4 linked regions of the Arabidopsis thaliana genome follow. The protein of the gene in region 1 purifies or fractionates together with the protein of each later gene. This does not show direct contact. Each region holds a gene or a part of one and is shown on either strand. Other genes may lie near its edges.

The links.
Region 2: the proteins of GDH3 (region 1) and LAP1 fractionate together in Arabidopsis thaliana (co-fractionation; one large-scale study listed by BioGRID). This does not show direct contact.
Region 3: the proteins of GDH3 (region 1) and LAP2 fractionate together in Arabidopsis thaliana (co-fractionation; one large-scale study listed by BioGRID). This does not show direct contact.
Region 4: the proteins of GDH3 (region 1) and AT4G30910 fractionate together in Arabidopsis thaliana (co-fractionation; one large-scale study listed by BioGRID). This does not show direct contact.

What each region holds. Positions count from the first base shown.
Region 1 is NC_003074.8:1,005,112-1,009,526, reverse strand, and holds GDH3 (glutamate dehydrogenase 3), read right to left. Parts: upstream 2,748-4,415; 5' UTR 2,615-2,747; coding exon 2,507-2,614; intron 2,409-2,506; coding exon 2,295-2,408; intron 2,211-2,294; coding exon 1,989-2,210; intron 1,907-1,988; coding exon 1,832-1,906; intron 1,729-1,831; coding exon 1,612-1,728; intron 1,538-1,611; coding exon 1,287-1,537; intron 1,203-1,286; coding exon 1,127-1,202; intron 1,041-1,126; coding exon 954-1,040; coding exon of another isoform or gene 921-953; intron 867-920; coding exon 681-866; 3' UTR 509-680; downstream 1-508. Other genes in the region: AT3G03920 (H/ACA ribonucleoprotein complex, subunit Gar1/Naf1 protein), read left to right, coding at 1-44, 239-404.
Region 2 is NC_003071.7:10,286,276-10,291,431, forward strand, and holds LAP1 (Cytosol aminopeptidase family protein), read right to left. Parts: upstream 3,411-5,156; 5' UTR 3,176-3,410; coding exon 3,125-3,175; intron 3,000-3,124; coding exon 2,591-2,999; intron 2,496-2,590; coding exon 2,301-2,495; intron 2,205-2,300; coding exon 1,979-2,204; intron 1,876-1,978; coding exon 1,749-1,875; intron 1,672-1,748; coding exon 1,576-1,671; intron 1,492-1,575; coding exon 1,414-1,491; intron 1,323-1,413; coding exon 1,262-1,322; intron 1,163-1,261; coding exon 975-1,162; intron 874-974; coding exon 742-873; 3' UTR 531-741; downstream 1-530. Other genes in the region: AT2G24195 (uncharacterized protein), read left to right, coding at 218-315; AT2G24205 (ECA1 gametogenesis related family protein), read left to right, coding at 5,143-5,156. UniProt on the Arabidopsis thaliana protein: Presumably involved in the processing and regular turnover of intracellular proteins. Catalyzes the removal of unsubstituted N-terminal amino acids from various peptides.
Region 3 is NC_003075.7:15,045,957-15,051,441, forward strand, and holds LAP2 (Cytosol aminopeptidase family protein), read right to left. Parts: upstream 3,483-5,485; 5' UTR 3,349-3,482; coding exon 3,115-3,348; intron 2,896-3,114; coding exon 2,481-2,895; intron 2,373-2,480; coding exon 2,178-2,372; intron 2,054-2,177; coding exon 1,828-2,053; intron 1,742-1,827; coding exon 1,615-1,741; intron 1,540-1,614; coding exon 1,444-1,539; intron 1,349-1,443; coding exon 1,271-1,348; intron 1,181-1,270; coding exon 1,120-1,180; intron 1,047-1,119; coding exon 859-1,046; intron 765-858; coding exon 633-764; 3' UTR 501-632; downstream 1-500. Other genes in the region: NFD1 (Ribosomal protein L21), read right to left, coding at 4,214-4,333, 4,451-4,525, 4,818-4,919, 5,075-5,155, 5,240-5,485. UniProt on the Arabidopsis thaliana protein: Presumably involved in the processing and regular turnover of intracellular proteins. Catalyzes the removal of unsubstituted N-terminal amino acids from various peptides.
Region 4 is NC_003075.7:15,041,808-15,047,017, reverse strand, and holds AT4G30910 (Cytosol aminopeptidase family protein), read left to right. Parts: upstream 1-1,673; 5' UTR 1,674-1,769; coding exon 1,770-2,000; intron 2,001-2,182; coding exon 2,183-2,597; intron 2,598-2,690; coding exon 2,691-2,885; intron 2,886-2,996; coding exon 2,997-3,222; intron 3,223-3,312; coding exon 3,313-3,439; intron 3,440-3,514; coding exon 3,515-3,757; intron 3,758-3,842; coding exon 3,843-3,903; intron 3,904-3,986; coding exon 3,987-4,174; intron 4,175-4,268; coding exon 4,269-4,397; 3' UTR 4,398-4,661; downstream 4,662-5,210. Other genes in the region: LAP2 (Cytosol aminopeptidase family protein), read left to right, coding at 16-203, 298-429; AT4G30900 (DNAse I-like superfamily protein), read right to left, coding at 4,815-5,086, 5,173-5,210. UniProt on the Arabidopsis thaliana protein: Presumably involved in the processing and regular turnover of intracellular proteins. Catalyzes the removal of unsubstituted N-terminal amino acids from various peptides. Possesses Cys-Gly dipeptidase activity.

The sequences.
Region 1 (4,415 bases):
CCTTACAAGCTTTTGCCACTCGCTCGATTCCTTCCTCAGCCAAAGTAAGCCCCACTTCTTAACACATCATTGGTCAATATATAAGTTTCTTTTCCTGAACTTGAAATAACATTAGTGAGCTCGTTTAACTTTAGCAATTAGCTTTTTCCTCTTAACAATCGAGACTTTAGATACACTATTAGTTGAGAGTTGTTAATTGTATCAAACTCCATCTAACTGCGTGTCTTTGTTCTTCCAGGGGTCAGTCAACGGGTGGACGTGGAGGTGCAGGTCGTGGAAGAGGTGATAGTAGAGGTCGTGGAAGAGGTGGATCATTTAGTAGAGGTAGAGGTGCTCCAAGAGGTGGTAGATTTCCACCACGCGGTGGCTCTCGTGGAAGCTTTAGAGGCCGAGGAAGATTTTAGGTTCTTCTCCTGCTTTATAAGCCTTATCCAAACTTGTACCCTTTGTTTTATGAATGACTATCGTTCTCCCGTATTCTCAATTTTCAAGACTTTGGTTTTATCTATGGAGTAAAAATATTTGCATCAAATTAGATTCGTTGATAGAAAATTTGAGAAGGTTAAACTGCAATTAGCACATAGTTTTTATTACTCTAGAATTGACTCAAATCACAAAGCAAATCAACAACATAGAAAGATTTTCTGAATTCTTGTTCTTTAGCTTCCCATGGGGGGGTATCAAGAACCCCAGCCTCTGATAGTGGTAGCTTGAGCGACACGATTAATACCGAGGGTGAAAGCTCCCATACGGAGATCACATGAGTGCGTCTGACACATTTCTTTCAAGTCTTTGAACCCGCGAGTCATGTAGGTCTTTAGCTCCCTATTCACCTTTTCCTCATCCCACATGAATCCTTGTATGTTCTTCACACAGATATAACACAAATCAGTGTTTTGATCGAGTGGCTTTAGATTCGATTAGGTCATACAGTCTTGATTTTCGAGTCTTACCTGAACCCACTCGAAGTAACTTACAGTGACTCCTCCTGAGTTTGCGTATATATCTGGGAGGATCATAACACCTTTCTTCTTCAAGATCTGCGGAGACAGATATTACAGAGTTTCTGTTACGCGAGTTTGAGAAGAAGAAAGAGCAAAAACAAAGTATCAGATTTTCGAATAACCTCGTCAGCCTCAGGATCAGTTGGGTGATTAGCACCTTCAATGATGAATTTGGCTTTTATTTCGTTTGCATTTTCCCTAAAACAGACCAAAGCCAGAGGTTTAGAGGAAATCATGATAGAGAATAGATTAATATTTTTGAGACAAGAAACTATAAAAGACCTGTTGATGACTCCCCCTAGAGCTGCAGGGACAAGAATATCACAATCTTCGACAAGAATCGAATCAGGATCGATTGAATCAGCACCATCAAACCCTTTGATTCCTCTGTTTTCTTCAGCATGCTCGAGCAAACTCAAGATGTCAATTCCATTATTGTTCTTGATTGCTCCTGTGACATCACTCACCGCCACAATCTTACCACCTTTGTCACTTATCAACTTCGCTGCCCAAGAACCCACATTTCCAAAGCCCTAAAACGCAGAGACAGTATGAGTACCCTGACACCGAAGTAATCTCTCTGACTAAACATTGTAACTTCTTTTACCTGGATGGCGAATCGCTGTCCAGATATGGTCTTTCCATGTTCGTTGAGTAAAGCTTCTGTTGCAAACAACACTCCTCTTCCTGTAGCAGCATCTCTCCCAAGAGATCCACCAAGATCCTGCTCAAAACATCATCCTCAAAAATCAAATCTCATTCAGTTTTAGATTAGTTGAACACATAAACCGAACCAACCTAAAACCGCGATTAGAACGGTCACTTACAATGGGTTTTCCAGTGACAACAGCAGGAGAATGTCCATGGAATTTTGAGTATTCATCAAGAATCCAAGCCATTGTCTGAAAATTTTCATCACTATATTTCAGACAAGAACAACACGTAAAATACAAGATGAAGACTTCAAGATCATGTTTTCGAAACCTGAGGACCGGTTCCCATATCAGGAGCTGGAACATCAGTATGAATCCCAATAAGATCGTGAATCTTCTGAGTGAAAACTCGAGTCAAACGTTCGAGCTCTGAGAGACTTAGCTCGCTCGGGTCACAACCGATTCCTCCTTTGGCTCCTCCATAAGGTATCTTAGCCACTGCTGTTTTCCATGTCATAAGTTGAGCCAAAGCGTTTACTTCATCCGGTTCAACCTGTCGATTACCGAAATCTGGTTTACTTCATGCCAATATTGAATTTGTTTTGGTTTGATGAAAAAAAAACAGAGTAAAACAAACCTCTGGATGATATCTGATTCCACCTTTCATGGGACCTCTTGCATTGTCGTGTTGAACTCTGAATCCAACAAAGGATGCTAGAGTTCCATCGTCTTTTGGTATGGTACATTCCACCTGCAATAGTTGGTTAGTTCCGTTCAAATGATCTTGAACCGGATCGGTTCTGCAGATCTGTTATAGATGGAAGAAGAAAACAGAGGAAAACATCGAACCTTGATCTCTCTGAAGGGAATGAGAAGACTTTTCTCGAGCTTTGAGTCTAAACCAAGAAGCCTAGAAGCAAGCTTGAAGTTTCTGTTGGTTGCTGCTAAAGCATTCATGGCTTTCTTCTCTCTTCTTTATTTTGGGTTTATTTGATCAGAGAGTCTGATATGAAGACAGTTGGAAAAATGTGAGTCTTGCTTATGTTATTGCAAGTTTATTTATATAGAGTGATACGTACACACTTCGTGTTATGGAATATGAGAATGAAAATTTTGTTATTTATATTTATAATAAAAGATAATTTATATAAGGAATATGAATAATCATATAAGATGATACCCATAATTGATCCTGATTTTGAGTATTCAGAATACTATGTGTCTGTTTAGCAAAGTTCTCACACAAAAAAAATATATAGATTATAGAAATAGCCCATGTCTTCACCATGTGTATAAACTAGATCAGAATAATGGAATATTCATTAATGAAAAGGAAATCCGTAGACTAATCAAGCAGAATAAATATATTCTTTTCATTACAAAAAGATCAGAATAAAAATAGGAAAAATCAAGATTTCACAAGATTATAAATATTACATGGATGAAAGAGATAGCTCGTAAAATTTATCTTATTGTGTCACACACTGTCATTTTATTCATTTTAAATCTAGATTAAAGGAAAAAATAACATTTCGTATTACCTAATTAGTACCCACCTAATAAGCAAGGACCAAGATATTGTTTTTCAGAATTTGTTTTTTTTTTTAAATAAGAAAATATGATACAATAATGATCTAGCAATAGCATGCATTGGACCGGATGACTATACTCGTGCATGAAAAATCATAGTCAAATTGTAATACGTTAATGTGGGACGATAATAATACTTTTTTTTTGTTTTATTATCTACGATTATATATATATTAATAATCATTTACATATTTGTGATATACGACCCGAAATGAATCTTGCATGTCATAAGATCTTTACGTGTTATTAACTTATTCAATTCTACTTGCCCCTACACATATAGGCATAGCGTATACACTTTTGTGAGAGGGTGACAAAAAAAAACGTATACACTTTAGTGAGCTAGTGGGAAAAAAACGTATAAACTTATCACACACATACAATATTCAGTTTTAATTGAAAAGATTCTACGGATATATGTTTTTTTAGATACTCAAATCAGAATCTTTTTGGAATTAGAGGAGGACACGAGAGGATGCAACAAATCAAGAAACATATAGAATTACAAGATTCCACCATGAAAGAATCTTTTTGGAAAAGAGATTCCCCATGATTTATGCTTCCACTAATATAATTGATTTATTGTGGATTTCCACCAAGATTTCTTTCTCTTTCAATTTCCAAAAGAAGATATCAATTTCGTAATAACAACATTGACCGTAAATAGTGTTTCCAAATTTGATCTCACCCTCTTTGGTCAAACCAATATATAGAAATAATACCCCAATAAAGAATCCGGTTCATGGTAGGCTTGGTAGCTAATGTCAAGGATTTAGTATTTTTAAAACGTTATGCATTAGCTTTCTATCACTTTTTAATACATGAAAAAAAAAAAAAAAAAAAAAACCAATTGGACTTTCTCCTAAAAGGCCATTCCCTAATAAACAACAAACTACGAAAAGCTAAACATGTATTTAAAATATTAAAGTGATAGAAAGCTAATGCATAACAATTAAATGAAGCAATTTTTTTATATTCTTTGGTCAAACCAATATATATACAGAAATAATACCCCATTAAAGAATACTGTTCATGGTAGCTAATGTCAAGGATTTAGTATTTTTAAAACGTTATGCATTAGCTTTCTATCACTTTTTAATAAATGAAAAATAATAACTCAAACAAATATAAAAGGCCATTCCCTCTACGAAAAGCAAAACATGTATTT
Region 2 (5,156 bases), on another chromosome or scaffold:
ATCGCAGTTTGAATTTACGATTTGCTCATTATATATGAAAACTAAAACTGAATCATTGTAATAATATCTCTTCATTTTTGGCTTTTGTAATAATTATTCCGGTATGGACATACAGTTCTTTTTCAATTTGGATTGGTTCCTCTAGATACGTAAGCAATAAACTGGCATAACAGAAATGATTTGTTAATTGTTGCTTCTTTTTTTTCTGTTTTGAAAGAAATAGGAAACAGGGTTTGGGATCAAAAGATCTTCAACAATGTGAAGGTTCGTGTACTTCCCAGTGCTTCAAGGCGTGGACCTGGGCAAACCGGTTAGAAAATCAGTACTAAGGAACAAAAGGAGTATTAAGTAGAATAGTTACTTCAAAATATTATCAAAAAAATATTTTATTTTATGATAGATAAAAGTCATGTTTTGTAACCACTCATATGCTGTTTTTTTTTCAAAAGATGTTCAATTATTGCATTTGACATTATGGTTCATAAAATTTGAAGTGGTTACCGAAAAAAGTAATGAAAAGGAGAACCCAATGTTGAAGACTTCAAAAGTAGAAATTTCAGACAGTATTTTTGCACGACTAAAACAAAGTACCACTTTATTCAACTTTTGACGATTTTACTTTTCATAACAAGTTAAGAACATCTGAAAACATAGTAACTTTTGAGACCTTATTAAAAACCAGCAATCATTTCAACACCCGAAAAACTCTACAGTCTCTCCCTCACGCTCTCTAGGTTTCATTCACGAAGATGAATTCTTCTGTACCCATTCAACAAGCGTAGCAACACCAAACCCGGTCCCAGACTTCTTCTTCTCGTTCCACACCGGTCCAGCCATGTCGATATGCATCCATTGCACCTTCTCACTCACAAACTGCCATACCACAGAAAATAGAGGATGGTTTAGTTACTTTCACCGACGAATTTTTTGTCAAAAACATGTATGTATAGCCTCTAAAGGGACTTTGTTTTCACCTGTTTCAAGAAGAGAGCCGCGGTGATGGATCCTCCTGCCCGCCCGCCTGTGTTGACCATATCAGCCACTCCAGACTTCATCATCTCCCAATAGCTCTCTTCCAGTGGCATCCTCCACAGCTTCTCTCCACTCCTTTCTGATGCAGCAATCACTTCCTTTGCAAGCTCGTCGCTAGGTGTATAGATTCCTATCAAGTAATGAACACAGAATGATCATCATGAGCCAATTTTGGACTCAAAAACGACACAAAGATTGAGTTTTTCTGCAGGGTTTTTGAGCTGTGTACCTGCCATTGAAGTTCCAAGAGCAATAACACAGGCCCCGGTCAAAGTAGCGAGGTCAACAATCTGCAAGATATTTGACAATGTTTAACTGAAAGGATAAATTTAACAGAAACAAGCTCCTTTAGCTTCTCATATCAATAAAGTAATGCAATACCTTGTCGACGCCTTGGTTACAAGCATACACTAGAGCATCTGCGAGTGTTAGACGACCTTCAGCATCTGTGTTGTTGACCTACACACACCATCGCCAACAATTAGCATTTCATAGGAAAAACAGTAAAAGCTCAACTCTGAGGGGGAAAAAATCATCAGATACCTCAATGGTCTTTCCGTTTGAGGCAGTGATGACATCTCCAGGTCTCATTCCGGTTCCACTAATCATATTTTCACAGGCTGCAACGATGAAATGAACCTGGTTGTGGAAGACGAATCTGTTCAGTTCGGTTAACAAACTATAGCTTTCAAAAGAATCTGATGGGAGAAACTAACCTCAACACCAGGAGGCTTAATCTCACCAATAGCTTTCGCAGCGCCAAGAACAGCAGCTGAACCGCCCATGTCGAATTTCATGAGCTCAATTGAGCAGCCAGGTCCAGTCTTAATGTTGTAGCCACCACTGTGTACACAAGATATTCAAATCAACAACCACTAAAATAACAAAGAAAAGATACCAGCTCGTAACAGAGTAAAATTCAAAGCAATACAGAATGATTAGTTACCTGTCAAAGGTCAATCCTTTTCCAACAAGAGCAAGTTTGGTCTTAACAGAGCCATTCGGAGGTTTATAGACAAGGTGGATGAAGTGAGGAGGATTAGCCGACGCAGCAGCAACAGCTAGGTAAGAACCCATCTTCAACTCTTTGCATTGCTCTTCGTTCAAGATGTTTGCAGTGAAGACATCACTGTACGTAGAAGCCACCTTTGCTGCTTCCTCAGCTAGTACAGCTGAAACGATACAAAAATCAAAGCAGTTTAGGAAAACTCAGCGAACACCACACAAACACGAAAATATTTGATTTCATAAATGACAACAATTCATACCAGGAGTAAGCACATTGGCAGGAGAATTAATGAGCTCTCTCCCGAAAATTACACCGTAAGAAACATCTTCAGCATACTTCAGCTTCTTTTCTACCTCAGCCCCAGTTCCAAATCCAATAATATCAACAGCTTTCAAAGATGGTTTCTTTGATTCAGACTTATACCTACCATCTTCAAATAAACCAAGTACTATGCCTATCCAAAAATAAACAATGAGACCCCAAATCAGTTCCAATTTCCAAAACAGTACTAAACAAGACTCGAACTTGTGTTATACTAATTGAAGTTACCTGAAGCTAAAGCTGATACAGAACTAAGCTTAGATTCATCAGAAACACTTGAAGCAAGCACAATAGCAGCACTAGTAGATTGAGAAGCTTTTGAAACTGTAGCTACAGCTTCACCAAGGCTATGAAAAGCCACCGGAGACGAAACAGACTGTCCAAGACCGATCAAAGCGATTCTCTTTGATCCTAAACCCGGAAGCCTGAGAACAGTCGATTGACCAGGTTTCCCAGTGAAATCTTCCTCGGAAGAGACTTGAGCTAAAAGTCCACTTAAGTGAGCATCGACCTTGCTCAAGATCGGATTCTCAAACTTTGAGTTACCGTCTTTGGCTAAGTCCTTCTCTGTCACACCAACTACGAGTATGTCTCCTTTCCATTCAATTACATCGATCTCCTTCGCAGTGAACGAGATCTGCATAATCGTCACCAAAAGATCAAAACTTCAAACTCGAATCAATCAAAAAATCAAAACTTTGAACTAAATCAAAACTGGATTCCATACAAAATCATTTCAAAATCACAGTGAAGGAAACAAACCTTGTGAGGCTCAGTGGAGTTGGGTTGAGTGAGACCGAGAGTGTGAGCCATGGTTATTGCTATTGAAGAGAGGTGTTGTGTGATTGAACTCTGAAAAGGAAGACGAAAGAGTAAACAATGAAAAGTTAGGATTGGTCTTTCAAAGGCGTATATATAGAAGGAGAAGTTAGGTGTGATTTACACATGTGTGATGTGTGTTAGTGAGTAGCTCAATTAGGCTTGAACATTCGGACTTCGGATTGGATTTTATTACGATAATTCGGGTTTTGGATTTGTAGGGTAAAATAGGGTTTTGGATTTTTTAGACATTCGGACTTTGAATCGGATTTTATTAGGGTAATTCGGGTTTTGGATTTGTAGGGTAAGACATGGTTTTGGATTTTTTAGATAGGGAGATTTCGGAAGGTACTGAATATGTTTCGATCGGTTCGTTTTGGATTTATACGGGTTCGGAATGGTTCTCGAAAAAAAAAAAATGCGACCATAGAATCGAAATATGTTCTGATTCGATTTTTGAATCGAAAAACTCCAAAAACCTAAACGATGTATATAGAAAAACGCTCCAAATGATCCTTAAAATCCAAAAATATGTGTATATATTGTTTTGTGTTTTTTGGGTTTACGTTTGGATTTTATTTTTTGGTATAATGGTTGGGTTGTAGGTGTTTTTGAGTATCCGTTTGGGTTTCAATTTTTTTTTAATGTTCGGATTTCAGATTTTACCAGTATATAACCGAAAATCGAAACATATAATTTAAGATCTGTTAGGATAATAACAACTTTTTGATTTGGAAATTTTTTTGGGCGAATTTCTTAAGAGAAGGTCGAAATAATAAAAGACAAAATTATAGTAGAAGTTGTTATTTTCAGCAACCTTATCAAACATATCTCTATGAGATATGCAAAAGTTTTAGCTTCAGTCGTGTTGAAGTGTTCTAGGTGGAATGGTTTAAATGGGTGAAAGGGCATCGATCATGCTATCGAGCTAGTCACTTCTGACTCTGATTTTGGGCACTGTTTCGTCGATCGTTGGTCATTTTGTGCCGCCTTTGATATCTGATCAAGTATCCACAAATCCGTCCACACCAATATTTTGAAGGTAAACCCCATTTCCTAATATCAAAAATACTATTCGCCGTCCGGAACATTGACAAGTACACGGCGTACCAGTCAAACATGGAGCCTAATCAATTCAACTATTTTTTCTATTTTGTTTTGTCGACAATGGTCTAATTGATACATGAGAAATTAGGCTGTATGACCATAAAAATTTAATAATTCAATAACTAACTTAAAAAAAGTTGACTACATGATTATGTGTATAACATGTAATATATACTAATCTACCCATTTGTTCACATGTCATATGTATCTTTTGATTCTTTTTCTGAATTTTGTCTTCTTTTTTTCTTTTGTATTTTGAAGTATGATCATTTTTAATTGTGTTTATGTTAAAATTTTAATAATATTATTGTTACTAATAAAATTTCACATTATGACTTTTACTATTTTAAAATCATTTTTTATTTTATTAGTTTTTTGTTAATAATTAATATTAATAGAAATAAATATTTATTAAATGAACATTGTAATTATAATTTAGTGTTAAAAAAAAAAAATGGTGACATGGCTTTGTTTGATTGGATGTTTACCATGATGATATGTACACATTAAGAGAACAGAAAACTCTTCCATAATATATATTAGTTAATAACACTAAGAATGGTGAGAGTGATATTAACATGGACATGGTTCCATTTTCATAATGCGTTTTTTGAAAGACAATCGTTACATTTTCAACTCTTTTTCAATGTTGGAAACCGCAAATTAATTACCAAATAGGCAAATAAATACTCGAACGAGTTTCATTAAAGATAATTAAAGCCAGTTCTTCATTTCTTTCATATAAATCAGACAATAATCCCATGTTATTTTCATCACCCAGTTACAAACTTGAAAAAGAATCACACATCAGAATATTTTAATTTTTCTTTTGTTTTGCCATAAGAATATATATCATGACGATAAAGAA
Region 3 (5,485 bases), on another chromosome or scaffold:
TAACTAAATTAAGAGTCATTGGTTTAGACTGGTTAAGATCCGGTTCAATAATCAACAACAAACACGGGAGATAAGGTTCGCCGTTACCTTTCTCGGCGATTACTCTCGGTGGATCTGCTCGGGGCTCGATGAGGCGGTTTAAGCTCACGGCAGTAAGGTCTCATAGCTCAACAATCAAAACCAAAACAAAGCACAGATCATAAGAGAAAGCCAAAAACTTCCTGAGCAAGTTACATAATAGATCTAGGGTTTCCTTACCCTTAACGGCCTTGGCGATGGACTACGACTACTCCGGTGACAGCGGTTGACATCCTGTGACTCGTGGTGTCACTCTCCGGTGACACACGGTGGCTGTAGTGGTGATGAACGGCGACTATCTCTCCTTCTCAACAACTCACGGACCCATTCAAATACAACAACATGACGGGACACAGCAACAACGGTGGCTCAACTGTGTCTCTCACGGTGGTTGTTGAATTTAAGTTTAGACTAGGTAAGCATACAACAACAAAACTAATCTTCTGATTGATTTAACTTGTCATACTTAGTTGCACAAAAAAAAAAAACTTGTCCCACCACACAAAGCAAAAACACAACTAGTTCACATCAGTCAGAGATCACCAGACTTCATCTTAAGAAGAAGAATGGTTCTGTACCCACTCAACTAGTGTCGCAACTCCAAACCCAGTTGCAGCTTTCTTCTTCTCGTTCCACACTGGTCCAGCCATATCTATGTGCATCCACTCAACATCCTCGCTCACAAACTGCAACCATTAACCAAACCCGGTTCTTCGTTAGAGAACAATAGCGTCAGTATTGAAATGTGTTCTTTTGTTTCCACTCTTATGATATACTCACCTGTTTCAAGAAAAGAGCCGCGGTAATGGATCCACCTGCACGGCCTCCAGTGTTAACCATATCTGCAACACCTGACTTCATCATCTCCCAGTAACTCTCTTCCATAGGCATTCTCCATAACTTCTCTCCACTCCTCTCTGATGCAGCAATCACCTCCTTTGCAAGCTTATCACTAGGTGTATATATGCCTGCAGAAAAACCAATAGTCAACCATCACGAAAGAATTTTATTCTGTCTTATTTAAAACACAAGACTATGTACCTGCCATTGATGTTCCAAGAGCAATAATACAAGCCCCAGTCAATGTTGCAAGGTCAACAACCTGCAAATATTGTAATTCACAAGTTGAGACTTGAGAGAAAAACCAACAGAAAGAATGTATTAATAAGTCGAAGAATCTTTGAAACAATACCTTATCGACACCCTGGTTGCAAGCATAAACTAAAGCATCTGCAAGTGTTAGTCGACCTTCAGCATCGGTGTTGTTGACCTGCAATACCACCCACAATTAGTTTGGCGTAAAACTAACAATGGAAAGCTCGAACCTTTTGAAGCTGAATTCATATGGAAACGGTGTTATGATACCTCAATCGTCTTTCCGTTTGAGGCTGTGAGGACATCTCCAGGTCTCATTCCAGTACCACTTATCATATTCTCACAAGCTGCGACAATAAAGTGCACCTGATTGTGCAACGAAGCATTTGTTTAGGTACATTCATTTAACTCAGAAACGCAAGCTCCGTGTGATAAACTTACCTCAACACCTGGAGGCTTAATTTGACCAATGGCTTTTGCAGCGCCAAGAACAGCAGCTGAACCTCCCATATCGAATTTCATGAGCTCAATTAAGCAGCCAGGCCCGGTTTTAATGTTGTAGCCACCGCTGTGAACAAAAACCATCTGGTCAATAACTAATAAGTATTAAATAAAGAGATTGATGCGGCAAACAGAAGCCAACAGCTCTAGTACCTGTCAAATGTCAATCCTTTTCCAACAAGAGCAAGTTTTGTTTTAACAGGGCCACTAGAAGGTTTGTAGATAAGATGTATGAAATGAGGTGGATTAGCTGAAGCAGCAGCTACAGCAAGATATGAACCCATCTTCAACTCTTTGCATTGCTCCTCGTTCAAGATGTTGGCAGTCATGACATCACTGTACATGGAAGCCAGATTCAAGGCTTCCTCAGCTAGTACGGCTGTAAGATACAAAGCAGATTAGAGAAAAATGTTTGAAATAAACTTCAACAGACATGATGCTCACATTATTAAAAAAAAAAAAAATGAAAAGTCTAAGACTGATGCTCAAGAAACAATCCTCACCAGGAGTGAGAACATTGGCTGGAGAATTAACGAGTTCTTTCCCGAAAATAACGCCATAAGAAACATGTTCAGCATACTTAAGCTTCTTCTCTAGTTCAGGTCCAGAGCCAAAGCCAATGATATCTACAGATTTGAGTGATGGTTTCTTCGACTCAGACTTATACCGGCTGTCTTCAAACAAACCAAGCACTGTGCCTGTAAAAATAAACAACAATTCCACATAACGATCAGTTCCAAAATGGTAATGAAACAACCATTCTCGAGCTTTAATAGACGAAACCACAACAACAACAAATAAAACACCTGAAGCTATAGCTGACGCAGAACAGAGCTTAGATTCATTAGAAACACTCTCAGAGGAGGCGAGAACAACTGCAACACTGCTAGCTTGAGAAGCTTTAGCAGCTGCAGCAACAGCCTCACCGAGACTCTGAAAAGCCGAAGGAGTTGAAGCAGATTTTCCAAGACCAATCAAACCAACTCGCTTAGACCCAAGACCCGGAAGCCTAAGAACTGTCGACTGACCAGGTTTCCCAGAAAAATCTTCCTCAGACGAGACATCAGCTAAAAGTCCACCCAAGTGAGCATCAAGCTTCTTCAGAATCGGGTTTTCGAACTTGGAGTTCACATCCTTAGCCATGTCTTTCTCCGTCACTCCAACAGCGAGTATATCACCTTTCCATTCCGTCACGTCGATCTCCTTCCCCGAAAATGAGATCTGATACAGCAAATTCGACTAATCAGAATCCAATTAACCACAAAAATTCAAACTCGAAAGCTAATCTCTGACAAGACTTGACCATAATCGAAGTCAGCAAATCAGTGGATCATCTTAATCGGAAACAGTAAAGCGACGAATCTACAAAGCATTCACTAGTATCGAGTTTAAACACATAACAGCAAAATCGAATAATGCTGCAAGCGATCAGGAACAAACCTTAGGATGATCGACGGAGTTAGCCTGAGTGAGGCCGAGAGTAGCGTGTGAGATTGTATGAGCCATGGCTCTAGAAGAAGAGTAGAGAGGCGTGACGGCAAAAGCGAGTCTAAGGCGAGAGGGGAACTGGAATCGGACGAAACAAGAGGAGAGAGACGACGGAGAAGAGGAGAATGAGCGGAAATGGAAGCGAGAAGACGAAGAAGCGAAGGACGTTACCAAAGTGACGGCCATTTGAGTAACGCACTGAGCTTCTCTTATTTATAAGGAGAAGAAAAGCCGCGTTTGTGCTTATCTCTCTCTCTCTCTTGTTGACGATGATTCTTCTTTTACTTGACTCATTGTTTGCTTTTATCCAACCCGTCCCCACCCGACCCGATCTTAACCATGGACTTACGTACTCGTGTAGCTTTATAATTCTCTTTGGCTCCAAATTGCTTTTGTTTAAGTTCTTTATACATATTTATACAAACAATGGTTTTGATACTATTTACAAACATTCAAATATTTCAAGGCATTCTTACACGATTTTCCGATGTTGATAAAAGAAATTATAAATCAGTTCCAAGTACTATCAATTCTGTGAATCATTTGTTGATGAGGAAGTGGTTGCCATATATAGTTACAATAATAATCACCTGATCTAAAGAGTCATAGTGGAAAAAATCGAGATTTTGAGTGTAATGTGACTTGCAGTTATTACCAATTTACCACCAGTTTCATATCTGTGACCGAGACTTGCATGAAGAAGTAAATTAAACCATAACCAAACCACAGTAGTACAGTACAAAGTACAAAGCATAGAGAAGATAAGGAGAGAGATGTTTCCGCAAATCTTTATTTCTGAAACAGAAGCAACAAACAGCTCCCACAAGCATGAGCCAGTTTAAATACAAAATGAAGAGCAAGGAGAACAAGACAGTGAAAGGCAAATCACATTTCATATCTCAGGAGCCTAGTTACTTACCACTAACTACCAAGAAGGCCTTTTCATCATTTCAACGACTTTAAAATCTAGTTCTTAGTGAACAGCAAGTGATAATTTAACTTACTTCAAATGTATCGGCATCAGCAAAAAAGAAAGAAGCAAATTTTATCTCTAAGCAACTAGCTCAGCCTTCGTCTGTTCTGTAACAGCTTCTTTCGAAGGCTTATGGACGATCTTCGGTTCTGGTTTTTCAATTCCTTGTATATCGGTTATTCTCAACTTCGTCAATTCCTGGACACAAGTGTTGAATGGTCAAAAACAACAATCATAACACAGTGGAAAGAACTAGAAGAAGGCAAAGATGAAATAAACACACTGTCTATCTAAACAAGGAGTTATAAAGTATACCTGTCGATGTCCTCTCGTTCTCCTATAATTCTTTCTTCGTTTCTTTTTGAAAATGAGCACTTTTTCATCCAAAGCCTGTCACGCATCAAGGAAAAACTAGTTGAGTAATGCTGGTACATGAGTAGATCCTTCTACATTCCAAGCCCATCTTAAATCAAGACATTCAGATGATGTAGAGATAGATGAACACTAATCTAATGACTTGCAAGACTTTCACAAACTAATCAGCAGACAGTTTGATTTAGTTTCTCTCAGTCACCGGATTCAGCAAGCAAACTCTCATCTATCCTCTTTTCAATTGTAAATTATTCTTAAGCACAGCTTCACTAGTATTATAAAACACCAAGCAAGTCAATGAGACACTTACATGCTCTTCAACTACAGCATGAACTGTCGCATCTGGCAAAATAGGCCTACCAATAATCGTCTGGCTTGCCGAGCCCAATAGAAGAACCTTGGTTAGTTCCAACTGCAAAGGGACATAAAGAGAAAGGTTTTAGCAACAATCATAAATCATAAACACAAATGCAAAGGTTCGTCCTTCTTACGAGAGATACGGTAAAGTCTAGCCCTTTGAGAGAAGAATAGCAAAGATTAACGAAGAAGAGCTTGAAGCTAGCATACCTTATCATTGATGTCACAGAATTTCAACTTCTCGGTGAAAATGGAGTCCCCATTGCTAACTTTAAACTGATGCGAACCAATCTACAGGATAAAAATAACCACTCAGCATCAGTGAGAGTGAGAAATGAAACTAAAGGATTAATTGAGATAGCACAGAGACGAGACCTGAACAATGGCAAACACTGGTTCATAGGGTTTGAAAAGTCTCTCCGAAGGTTTAAGAGGACCCATCACCTTGTACCCTATCTCCTCCGCCTCTTCCACTTTCTCCGCCGGTGAATATTCCCTTTCTACTTCCATATCCGCCGAATCCTCAAAGTCTTCCCCCTCCTCCTCATCATCATCCTCTCCTTCACTGCTTTCTTCATCTTCATCAGTATCCTTTGTGTTCGAAGAGAAACAACGATCTTG
Region 4 (5,210 bases), on another chromosome or scaffold:
TTGGTTTTTCTGCAGGCATATATACACCTAGTGATAAGCTTGCAAAGGAGGTGATTGCTGCATCAGAGAGGAGTGGAGAGAAGTTATGGAGAATGCCTATGGAAGAGAGTTACTGGGAGATGATGAAGTCAGGTGTTGCAGATATGGTTAACACTGGAGGCCGTGCAGGTGGATCCATTACCGCGGCTCTTTTCTTGAAACAGGTGAGTATATCATAAGAGTGGAAACAAAAGAACACATTTCAATACTGACGCTATTGTTCTCTAACGAAGAACCGGGTTTGGTTAATGGTTGCAGTTTGTGAGCGAGGATGTTGAGTGGATGCACATAGATATGGCTGGACCAGTGTGGAACGAGAAGAAGAAAGCTGCAACTGGGTTTGGAGTTGCGACACTAGTTGAGTGGGTACAGAACCATTCTTCTTCTTAAGATGAAGTCTGGTGATCTCTGACTGATGTGAACTAGTTGTGTTTTTGCTTTGTGTGGTGGGACAAGTTTTTTTTTTTTGTGCAACTAAGTATGACAAGTTAAATCAATCAGAAGATTAGTTTTGTTGTTGTATGCTTACCTAGTCTAAACTTAAATTCAACAACCACCGTGAGAGACACAGTTGAGCCACCGTTGTTGCTGTGTCCCGTCATGTTGTTGTATTTGAATGGGTCCGTGAGTTGTTGAGAAGGAGAGATAGTCGCCGTTCATCACCACTACAGCCACCGTGTGTCACCGGAGAGTGACACCACGAGTCACAGGATGTCAACCGCTGTCACCGGAGTAGTCGTAGTCCATCGCCAAGGCCGTTAAGGGTAAGGAAACCCTAGATCTATTATGTAACTTGCTCAGGAAGTTTTTGGCTTTCTCTTATGATCTGTGCTTTGTTTTGGTTTTGATTGTTGAGCTATGAGACCTTACTGCCGTGAGCTTAAACCGCCTCATCGAGCCCCGAGCAGATCCACCGAGAGTAATCGCCGAGAAAGGTAACGGCGAACCTTATCTCCCGTGTTTGTTGTTGATTATTGAACCGGATCTTAACCAGTCTAAACCAATGACTCTTAATTTAGTTAAGACCAGAACCGAAACCAATGACAATTTGCGTTGTTGGTGTATTATTACGTCTGTGTGGTGTAACTAGATTATAAGAATTTGGTTTGGTTTAATTATTAAACCAAGTCTAATTAATTTAATTGGAAGAATACCAAATCAATTAATCGAGATTTCTAAATTTGGTTTGGTTATTAGATTAAATCATGTATTTTTAATTGGATTTCACCTATTGATCCACAAATGAGTTACAAAAGTGATAATACTGACGTGTTTTTCAATTTCTTTTATCACTTCGTGTAAGAATGCCTTGAAATATTTGAATTTCTATAAATAGTATCAAAACTATGTTTTGTATAAACAACTTTAAATTTGAAGGCAACAAATAACAGTAGTAAGTATTTCAGATATGGTTATCAAGATAAGTTTAGTAATAGTGAAACATGATCACATTAAAATTTGAAAAGAAGTCTACAGCTAATCAAGATTGTTAAGATCGGGTCGGATAATAGCAATAGTGAGTGAGTCAAGTAAAAGAATAATCATCGTCAACAAGACACGACGGTCGGACGCGGGCGGACGCAAGAAGAGACTGGGCCACTCTAATTTTCTAAGATAACTCTAATTTCATACTATATATATATATATATATATATATGTCTGCATCAGCCACTCTGTTCTTCTCCTTATAAATAAATATAAAGAAGCTAAGCTCAGTGGAGACTTCTCAAATGGCGGTCACTTTGGTAACGTCATGTGCTTCTTCTTCTCGCTTCCATTTCCGCTCTTTCTCCTCTTCTCCGTCGTCTCTCTCCTCTTGTTTCGTACGATTCCAGTTGCTGTCTCGCCTTAGAGTCTCTTTCGCCATCACGCCTCTCTACTGCTCTTCTAAAGCCACGGCTCATACAATCGCACACGCTACTCTTGGCCTTACTCAGGCCAACTCCGTCGATCATCCTAAGGTTTGACTTTGCTGTTATGTGTTTAAACTCGATACTAGTGAATGCTTTGTAGATTCGTCGCTTTACTGTTTCCGATTAAGATGATCCACTGATTTGCTTACTTCGATTATGGTCAAGTCTTGTCAGAGATTAGCTTTCCAGATGCTTAACTGGATTCTGATTACTCGAGTTTTCTGTATCAGATCTCATTTTCCGGGAAGGAGATTGACGTGACTGAATGGAAAGGTGATATACTCGCTGTTGGAGTGACGGAGAAAGATATGGCTAAGGATGCCAACTCCAAGTTCGAGAACCCCATACTGAAGAAGCTTGATGCCCACTTGGGTGGACTTCTAGCTGATGTCTCGGCTGAGGAAGATTTTTCTGGGAAACCTGGCCAGTCAACAGTTCTTAGGCTTCCGGGTCTCGGCTCAAAGCGGGTCGGTTTGATTGGTCTTGGAAAATCTGCTTCAACCCCTTCGGCTTTTCAGAGTCTTGGTGAGGCTGTTGCTGCAGCTGCTAAAGCTTCTCAAGCTAGCAGTGTTGCAGTTGTTCTCGCCTCCTCTGAGAGTTTTTCTGATGAATCTAAGCTCAGTTCTGCTTCAGATATAGCTTCAGGTTGTGATTTCTTTTAGTAAACCTTGAGAAGTGCTTGTTTCATTACCATTTTTGAACTGATCCTTTTGTGGAATCGTTTTTTACTTTTGACAGGCACAGTGCTTGGTTTGTTTGAAGACAGTCGGTATAAGTCTGAGTCAAAGAAACCATCTCTCAAATCTGTAGTATTCATTGGCTTTGGCACTGGACCTGAACTAGAGAACAAGCTTAAGTATGCTGAACATGTTTCTTATGGCGTAATTTTCACGAAAGAACTTGTTAATTCACCAGCCAATGTTCTCTCCCCTGGTATGGATTATAATCATACTCTTAGACTTCTCATGTTTTTTATAATGTGAGCATCATGTCTATTGAAGTTTATTTCAAACATTTGACTCTAATCTGCTTTGTATCTTACAGCCGTACTAGCTGAGGAAGCCTCGAATCTGGCTTCCATGTACAGTAATGTCATGACTGCAAACATCTTGAAAGAGGAGCAATGCAAAGAATTGAAGATGGGTTCATATCTTGCTGTAGCTGCTGCTTCAGCTAATCCACCTCATTTCATCCACCTTATCTACAAACCTTCTAGTGGCCCTGTTAAAACCAAACTTGCTCTTGTTGGAAAAGGATTGACATTTGACAGGTACTCGCAAGAGCTGTTGTCTTCTGTTTGCCGCATCAATCTCTTTCTTTTATACTTATTGGTTATTGACCATCTGGTTTTTGTTCACAGCGGTGGCTACAACATTAAAATTGGGCCTGAATTAATAATTGAGCTCATGAAAATCGATGTGGGAGGTTCAGCTGCTGTTCTTGGCGCTGCAAAAGCCATTGGTGAAATTAAGCCTCCCGGTGTTGAGGTAAGTTTATCACACGGAGCTTGAGTTTCTGAGTTAAGTGAATGTACCTGAACAAATGCTTCTTTGCACAATTAGGTGCACTTTATTGTCGCAGCTTGTGAGAATATGATAAGTGGTACCGGAATGAGACCTGGAGATGTCATCACAGCCTCAAACGGGAAGACAATTGAGGTATCATTACACCGTTTCCATATGAATTCAGCTTCGAAAGGTTCAAGCTTTCCATTGTTAGTGTTGCAGGTCAACGACACCGATTCTGAAGGTCGGCTAACACTTGCAGATGCTCTAGTTTATGCTTGCAACCAGGGTGTCGATAAGGTATTGTTTCAAAGATTCTTCCCCTTATCAATAACATTCTTTCTGCTGGGTTTTCTCTCAACTTGTGAATCATATATATTTGCAGATTGTTGACATTGCAACATTGACCGGGGAGATTATTGTTGCTCTTGGACCATCAATGGCAGGTACATAGTCTTGTGTATAAAATAGACAGAATGACATTCTTTCGTGATGATTGAATATTGGTTTCGATTTTTGATTTCTGCAGGCATGTACACAGCTAGTGATGAGCTTGCCAAGGAGGTAATTGCTGCATCACAGAGGAGTGGAGAGAAGTTATGGAGAATGCCTATGGAAGAGAGTTATTGGGAGATGATGAAGTCAGGTGTTGCAGATATGGTTAACTTTGGAGGCCGTGCAGGTGGATCCATCACCGCAGCTCTCTTTTTGAAACGGGTGAGGATACCATAAGAGTGGAAACAAAAAAACACACTTCAATACTGATTCTATTGTTCTCTAACGAAGAACCGGATTTGGTTAATGGTTGCAGTTTGTTAGCGAGAATGTTGAGTGGTTGCACATAGATATGGCTGGACGGGTGTGGAACGAGAAGAAGAAAGCTGCGACTGGGTTTGGAGTTGCGACACTTGTTGAGTGGGTACAGAACAATTCTTCTTAAGATGTAGGCAGGTGATCTTTGTGCTCCCAGTTCTTATTTAACATTCTCAGAGGTTTTAATGTAGGTAAAAGGGTTTTTATTTGCTTGTGTGAACTGTGAAGTGTGACGCTTGAATATGACGAGTTACCCATTTGAAAGTATTTGACTATTTGTAGATATTCTTGTGTTCCGTAACATCACTTACCTAATAACACAAACTATTAGGAGCACAAGATGAAGGATACAAGTCGTCAATCTTATGTTTCAGTGGTCATCAATAATAACACAAACTATTAGGAGCAAACAAAACAATTTATTTAAATCTCTTTTGAATATGTTTTAGCTCAAATCAATAAATAAAGGCGCCGAGAAAAAAACAGAGCTCATTTGCACAACAATCAGTATAGTCCAAAGCTTAAGCAAGTGAGGACATGTGTTCTAGCTTTCCTCTTGAGCAGGAGCAGAAACAGGAGGAGTAGGTTCAAGCATTCTTACAGAACGAGGAAGCATAAACTCAGCAAACACAGGGTAGTGAGATGAAGGATACAAGTCGTCAATCTTATCATTTACGATCTCGCACATTACAGGAACTATAGATCTACCTCTGTAAAGTATCCAATCCGTGTGTAGATCTTGCGTCTGTCGGTCCCAGCAGAGGCATAACGCTCTGAATATCAGCTTCAGGAACTCGACCGTTCCCTGCTTGTCACCTGAACAAAGGCCCAACATGTTATGATCTAGAAGCTTTGGAGATAAATGATTTTTATAGCTCATGAGAGGGTGGAATGTTTCACACCTTTGAAATCATGGTATGTTCTTATGAGAGCGACGTTT